2 linked regions of the Alligator mississippiensis genome follow. Each later gene encodes a partner of the first gene's protein in a complex. Links are inferred from orthologs where the notes say so. Each region holds a gene or a part of one and is shown on either strand. Other genes may lie near its edges.

Evidence for each region. Proteins that work in one complex are often made in the same cells at the same time.
Region 2: the proteins of TNNI3 (region 1) and TNNC1 are in contact, whole or in part, in a crystal structure (PDB 4Y99), measured with the Homo sapiens proteins. The link is inferred for Alligator mississippiensis from reciprocal best matches to the Homo sapiens genes TNNI3 and TNNC1. Residues at the interface, in NP_000354.4 of Homo sapiens: Glu32, Pro33, His34, Ala35, Lys36, Lys37, Lys38, Ser39, Lys40, Ile41, Ser42, Ala43, Ser44, Arg45, Lys46, Leu47, Gln48, Leu49, Lys50, Thr51, Leu52, Leu53, Leu54, Ile56, Ala57, Lys58, Glu60, Leu61, Glu64, Arg136; in NP_003271.1 of Homo sapiens: Asp3, Ile4, Lys6, Ala7, Glu10, Gln11, Thr13, Glu15, Gln16, Glu19, Phe20, Ala22, Ala23, Ile26, Phe27, Val44, Met45, Leu48, Gln50, Glu59, Met60, Glu63, Glu66, Asp67, Gly68, Asp73, Asp75, Glu76, Phe77, Met81.

The regions. Positions count from the first base shown.
Region 1 is NC_081828.1:39,426,839-39,430,588, reverse strand, and holds the start of TNNI3 (troponin I, cardiac muscle), read right to left. Parts: upstream 2,648-3,750; 5' UTR 2,534-2,647; intron 1,483-2,533; 5' UTR 1,455-1,482; coding exon 1,444-1,454; intron 248-1,443; coding exon 235-247; intron 1-234. UniProt on the Homo sapiens protein: Troponin I is the inhibitory subunit of troponin, the thin filament regulatory complex which confers calcium-sensitivity to striated muscle actomyosin ATPase activity.
Region 2 is NC_081835.1:39,250,494-39,254,243, reverse strand, and holds the start of TNNC1 (troponin C, slow skeletal and cardiac muscles), read right to left. Parts: upstream 2,270-3,750; 5' UTR 2,187-2,269; coding exon 2,163-2,186; intron 1-2,162. UniProt on the Homo sapiens protein: Troponin is the central regulatory protein of striated muscle contraction. Tn consists of three components: Tn-I which is the inhibitor of actomyosin ATPase, Tn-T which contains the binding site for tropomyosin and Tn-C.

The DNA.
Region 1 (3,750 bases):
GATGGTTGTAGTAGGGGACTGGCTGGATGGGGCAGGGGCCTTTACCCTCTAGGGGGCACTGGCCCTGATCTAGCCTCAGGGAAGGGCACTGGCTGCCTTGGGGTCAGGGGTGGGGCAGGGACTGCTCTCCTCTAGGGGGCATTTCTGCCTTCCAGTCCATCCAATGGAGTGGCTGACTTTGTCCCAATAATAAAGGCTGATTATAGGGGAATGCGCCCCCATGCTGATACTTACGGTTACTTCCTCCCTGTGGGGTAGGTTAGGGGGGAGAGAGAGGGAAAAAAATTAGTTCAGTGACAAACCCAGCCCCTGAATGACACAGGCACTGTCTGAGACTGGGGGGGTCCCCTAGCCCTTTGCAGGCCTGATGGATGGCTTGAAGCCCCCTCCCTGCCTGGGTACTGAAGGAATCAGAATCATAGAGAAGTCAGGGCTGGAAAGGACCTCCAGAGGTCATCTAGTCCAAGCCCCTGCCCGGGGCAGGATCAGTCCTATCCAAACCATCCCCTACAAATCTATAATAACCCCTTAGCAAAGCTACTGTCAACCCTGACACAACACAAGGCATCACACCCCAACCTGCTACAGGTAAAGCAGGGGGACCGCTGCTGGAAAAGGTTGTTCATATACACTCAAGAGCTCCCATGTAGAAGCTGTGCCCCCTGCAACAGAGGCAGGCAAAACTCCCCCAAAGTCCAGGCCAGTCTGGCCACAGGGTAAAATTCCTTCCTGACCCCAATACAACAATCAGTCTGACCCTAAGCAGAGGAGCAAGACCCTCCAGCCAGGAACCTCCAGGTAGAAGCACAACCACTGGCACAGCCCAGTCCCAATCCCTAGCCTTGGTTGCAGCCAACACCCAATGCCTCTGAGGAAAGCTTAAAAACACCCCCAAAACCCTAATACATGTAGCAGCAAGGGAGGGGGGCAGGATTTCCTCCCAGCCCCATGCAGCAACCAGCAAAAATGAGAAACCCGGGAAGTACCACAGTAGAATATAGGCAGAGCTGTGCCTAGATCATCCCTGACCCGTGCCTGTCCAAGCTGTTCTTGAACATCTCCAGTGATGGAGAGTGCACAGCTTCCCTAGGCAGTCTGTTCCATTGCCTCCCTGTTTTACCAGTGAAGAAGTTTTTCCTGATATCCAGTCTAAACCTACTTTGCTGCAACTTCAAGCCATTGGAGCAGCTGATGCACAGAGAAAAGCAAAGATGCTCTCCCCAAGAAGACTCACATGTGAGTCAAGAATAGAACCCAGGTGTCCCAGCTGTCTCCACCCTGCTTTAACCCACTAGACCCCAGTCTCCTCCCAAGGCTGCCCCCTGCTCTAACCCCACTGGGGTAGAACCCAAGCATCTTGGCTGCCACCCCGTTGCTCCACAAGACCCCCACTCCTGAGACCCCACTCCCCTCCCAAAGCTGGGCATGAAACCAATCACTTACTCTTCTGCCATGTTGAGTAGGTTGTGTCAATACCAAGAGCTGGGGGGAAAAATGGGAAAAATTATCTCATTGTGCCCTACAAGGAGTGCTGACCCCAATCTGGCCCCAGGGCTGGCTTAGGGGGTGGGTAAGGGGCAGGGACACAGGCAGGAGCAGGGGGCCTTTCCCTTCCAGTGGGTGCTAGCTCCAATCTGGTCCTGGGTGGGAATGGGCTTCTCACGAACTTCCTTATCTCCCCAGGCCTGTGGCTTTGCCCCTATTTGGGGTGGTTGCTCAGGGCTGATAAGGCAGTAAGTGGAAGGTGCTAAATATAACAGCTCTTATCACAGCTGCCAGATGGAGTCAGAGTCACAAGGGGATGGGGGGGGGGGGGGGGGGTTTCTTTGCATAAAGCTCTGGGCAGGCAGTTGCAGGGTTGGGGGGGAGGGGAGTATTCAGAGGATCCACTAGATGGTGAGGTGGTTGTAGTCTCCCCCTTCTCTAGCCCCATGAGGCTGTGGCCCAGCCGGTCAGAGCTGCTCTAGTCATATCCAGATGGGGTGGGGTTTGGGGGGGGAAGTGTATAGGGTTTAAGTTGAAGGGGCTGGGGGATGGATTCAGGTTCATCCATTGTAGGAACCCATTGTCCCAGTGCTGATGCAGATGCCTCCTGAGTGAGGTATGTGAATGGAGGTGGGGAAGACACTGGTTATACAGGGACCTCTCACACAGGCTGAGAGGTAGCTGCTTCTGGGTGGGGTATCTTGGGGGCTGGTTATACAGGCACACCTCACCTGGCACTGGGTTGTGGCTATCCCTGGAGTGGGGCACAAAGAGTGTCTCTTTAAAGTCATGTTTCCCCGTCTCTTGGGGTGGAGTGCCAGTCTGGGTCCCTTTGGGACCAGCTGTGGTTTGTTGGGGGCTAGTTTTTGGGGTACTGAAGGTGACAGAATATTTATTAAGGGGTTAAAGTCTCTGGGGATGGTAAAGGCCAGAGAGGAAAGATCTGTGGGCCTAAAAGCTGTGAATATGGGGAGAAGGATTCCCCCTGCCTGGCCAGGACCCAGCCATCCCCCTAGGTTCCCCATCACTCCTTGCCCTCCTCTCTTACCTTGAGAGTTCCCAGCACAGTGGGGCTGGAAGAAGCAAGGTGGGGGGCGTCTCTGCAGGCTCTAGGCAAGCATGGAGGCTGCTCGGTTTAAATAGGACTGGTGGACTGCCCAGCTGGCAGGGGGAAGGGAGGGGAGTGGCTGCTGATAAGGGGGGCCCTGGTGTTGGAGGGCTGTGGGGGAGGGAAGGCCTAGGCAGGTGCTCCCACGAAAGTGGGGGTGGAGAAGACATCCCAGGGTCTGGCTGGAAGGGGTGGCGGGAGCATGTGGGCTCCTACCCCTGAAGCAGCCCCAGTGGCCTCTGTGCTCCACTGTGGTCCGTGTCCCAATGGCAGCCTCAGGGTGCCCATAGACACCAGGGCTGGGCAGTGCTGGGAGGGGTGGGGTGCAGTTCCAAAGGTGCTGCCAAATCAGCAAGGTCAGTGCTAATGGCTCAGGAAGCCTCCCCCAGTTGAGCACTCCCACCCCATGGTGCCCCCTAGCTCTGGGGCACTTGGGTCAGCACTCACAGCTGGGATGGAGGCCCTTCATGCTGCTACCCTTGAACCCTGAGGCTTTGGGTCAGTGCCTTCAGGCCCTGTAGCACCCCTAAGGGCTAGGACAGGGGGTCAGTACTGACTGCTGAGACCCTGCACCTCTTCTCTGTGGCCTGGCACCCCCTGTACTGAATCCCTTTATTTCCCACAGCACAGTGCTCCCTGGCACCACAGAGGCACTTGCACCAGCTGCTAACACCCCCTCCCACCGAATCAAACTACCCACACCTGCAGCACAGTGCTGCCTACAGAAATCCCCATGCCCTGCAGCATGGTGCCCCCAGAGCTAAGCTTCTGGTATCACGTCACTTTGAGTCAAACTTGCTGGGAGCAAAGTGGGCCCAGCAGGAAAGAACTTTATTTCAGTATGAAACAAGCCATAAATGACAAAGCCGGACACAGAGCAGAGGGGGCAGGTGAGGGGAGGGAGGGGGATTCATGCACAATTCGGGGGGGGGGGGCAGGGGGTATGTAGGACCCTCCCCTCAAACATATAGCAGTGGAATTTTATTGGCTGCTGGCCTGGAAGGACACAGGGCAGGGGAGGGAATGGAAGGGTTAATAATGCTGGGCAGAGAGGAGTCCTGGCCCCCAACAAAGTGGGCACCAAATGGTTAAAGAGTGAGGCTGGGAGAAGCTCAGATGCCCAATCTAGGACCCCAGCAGGTTAACGATGCGTGGGG
Region 2 (3,750 bases), on another chromosome or scaffold:
GACATTTGTCCCTGGCATTGATCTTAGTACTGTTCAGCTGAGTCTGAAAACTTTACCAGAATAGCTCTGTATTTGTATAACCTTATGTAGGCACAAGTGACCCTCTGGGTTTTCTTGGAGCATTGTATTTTATAAAAATAAATTCAATATTTGTTTGTTAAAATATGCCATCATCTTGCAACAATACAACAAAAAATAAGTATTTAACTAAAGTCTCCTTGGGCACATTTACACATGCAAATAATGTGGGAGCAGTTTAGTATAGTACTCTACACAGTAAGCTGTCCTGGGCATGCATCTACATGTGTAGACACATAGTGTGCCTTAAGATGGGGGAGCAAGCAGCTCCCTAGGCTGGCTGCTCCCCCGTGTTGAGGCACATTGCACATAGCTGTTCCGCAGCTGGCTGAGGCGCAGTGTGCCTCCAGATGGGGAATCTAGGGAGCTGCCCGCTCCCCCGTCTCTGTGTTTGTCCCTGGCACATGGTGCTTTGGCATGCTTTGATCCATTTTGTTTTGTTTTGTTTTGTTTTTTGTGGGGGGCTTGCTACCAAGAAATCCCAGTAACAAATTTTGCTTCAGCACTGCAAATTAACAGTGGGGCAAATGGTTTAACATGCAATATGTGTGTTTTCTGGCACTATAAAGAGGTTTGCAGTGCTACGACCTCATGTGCCTGCACATCTGGATCCAGCTCTAGAGTGTATTTCTTGGTGCTTTTAAAGTATTTGATGTGAATCAATTAAATATTTATTTGTTAAAATGTGCCATCATCTTGCAACAATACAACAAAAAACAATATTTAACTAGAATCTCATTTTAACCTGTTTTTAAAAGCAGTCAGGAACAACCCTCACAACTACTAGGCAGAACACCTGAAATATCAAAAATGCCCTTTAACTTGCCACAGGCTAAGTAGAGAGATGATCACTGAAGTCAATGGAGTTAGATCAGGGATTCATATTTTATGCCATATATGGTGTTCAACATTAAGCAATATGAAAGGAGGCTAATATTTGTACATGCAATTTTTTCCCTACACTAACTCTTTGTGCTACAGAATGCATTCTATCAGTCTGAGTGACAGATCCATTTGGCTAATTTTTAGCATTACTGACTTAAGAAATATTTCACCTTTTCATTTTGGAGTGTATGTCTAATGTCCCTAAATATTATGGGACTTGAGTTAAACAGCCATAAAGAGGCATGCATTTTCTTTAGTGTTTAGGTCACTCTTTTTATTCCTTTCTTTAAAGATCTGTTGTCTTATTCTACAACCCTGACCTGATCAGGCTCACTGAAACCACCAAAAGCACAGTTTGTAGAATAGAGTTCCAGGCTAGTGCAGATTTTAAATATTGACAAGAAGTCACAGATTAGGCAAATATGATGAACAGCTGTTTTTTTGTCATATGTCAGTCAGGATCTCTGTTTCTTTAGAATCTACCCATAACTCATTTATCATTGTGGTGGTGATAAAAATATAAAGTCATAATCAGTTACCAAAAAACTACAACCCCATATGTAACCAGATAGTCATGAAAGTCATGCACAGAATGTGGTAGCAAAGATTCCAGGACAGAGAGATTCATACATTACAGAATGCAAAGATACCATTTAATTTACACATAATCAGTTGTTTAAGGCACAATATAATGTAGCTTTTCTATTTATTAAAAGGGAGAAAAAATATTTTGGGTTTATAGAATAAACTACATGGCCAGCTATATAAGGCAAAATTGCATCTCATTAAGTTTCTGCCACTGTTTTTATCAAGTACAGTGAGCATAATTGGCACTATGTTTTCTCAGAGTGGATATCAATAACAGGGCGACAAACTTTTTGTGAGGAATTTTGGTGCACAAGAATGAATCCACCTAGTCCTGTGTAAAGCCAGGAACATAAGATTACTTTTAAATTTCATCTCTTTATTACACAACACAGAACTTGGAGAGGACTTGTTGTAAATATTTTAGTGGGATACTTACAGGAACATTTTCTCCTAAGTATTTTCCTGTTAATTATTTGTAGAAAAAAACTAAACATGAATGAGTACTGTGTCTTCTTATACCTTTGGGAGATTAGCAAAATCACACACAAAAAAATCTATATAATACCTCAAAATCAATCCTAGACAAAAGTTATGTTTAAAAACATACTTACTGCTGCCTTATAGATATCATCCATGGTTAATTATTGGTGGTCACAAGCTGAACAGAGGACAAGTGGTACACAAACAAATGTTAAGTCTCTGTCAGATCTCACTTCCTTTTGTCACTGCTAATATAGCAGGCTGAAAGCCCTAAATGGGCTGCAGCTTACTGCATCACCAAACCACTATATATATCTATGTATCTCAGTGATACCCACTCCAAATGGGAATTTGTCACCCCTATGGGCAGGGAAGCTATACAAAGCCAGTAGCTCTGCATTCCAAGGCCCCAATCCAGCTTTTACTCAAATCAATAGTTTTACTTTTTAGCTTCAGTAGGATCAGGATTGGGCCTCTTTAAACTCATTGCTATCCTTAGATCCTCAGCCAGATTGGTTAAATATATATCACTGTGTCAAGGGTGCCTATAAGGGGAAACCTATACTACTTCTATAAAAAATCAGGCCAAAAATGCAAGCTTTACCTGTGCCTATTTATCCTTTTATTGCTTAGCCTTATTACTACTGAAAATATCTGAATAACAATTAGGTAGTTCATTACATGGGTACCAGCAAATATTCAGGTCAAGTTAAGAATCTGATCCAGTTTCTCTTGAACTCAGTAGCAAAGTATCTCTACAAGTCAGTGGGAATGGGAGCAAGTCTGAAAATATTGGGGCAGCTGGAAATGTTTGGGCAGCTGGCCCCTTTTGTTGTGACAGCAGAGACCAAGCCCTGAATCCAGAACTCCTAATCTCTGGAAAAGTTTAAATCAAAACTCAAATATTATAGGGTACATCCTTTTCTTCTGTATTTGTCTATAGGAGCAAAAAAAACCCAACCCAATCAAAAGAGCTTTCAATGAGCAATGTGTGTGCCCTTCTTATCATCAAAAAGCAAAACATCAGAAAAGTCTGTCCTATGAGTTTCTATCAAATTGTACAGCTATGAAAAACATGATGCAGTGGACCACGGGTGTTTATTTTTCTGATCCACTGAGTGACTTTGAGCATATTGCTTAACCTCTCAGTAGATCAGTTTCCTTGTCTGCAAACCTTGGTAAAACATTTTGGACATGTCCCCACAAGTGGAAATGTGTGTTTCTGGAGGGACAGATAACAGCAGCACAATTTGTGCCACTGCTACTTGTCCCCAGGGAACACAACTGCATGAATGCTCTGGTACACAGCAAGTTGCCCCAAGTGGGGTAAGGAGGGCTTAGGGCCAGCACCTGGGATGGTCCCAGCAGCTTTACTTGGGGTCCTGGGGACCTCCTGGGGCTGCAGCAGTAGCAATCTGTGCACACAGAGCCCGGCCTACAGCTGGAGTGTGGCTCTGGCCAGCCAGGCTCTGGTTTCAAGTGGTGCATGCAGCTGCTACCAGGAGATCCCCATGTCAAAAAACCCGTGCTGCAAATTAGCAGTGCAGCAAATGCATGCATGTGCAGTACGTGCATTTTAAGGCACCACAGATGGGTTTGTGGCACTGCAAACCGCATGTGCGCACGTGTGGAGAGGCACCTTTTGAGAGCTGTCTTCTTCTCCTTCCCAGAATACCACTAGTTCAGTGGTTTGGTCTCACTCCTGAAAAAGTTTGAATC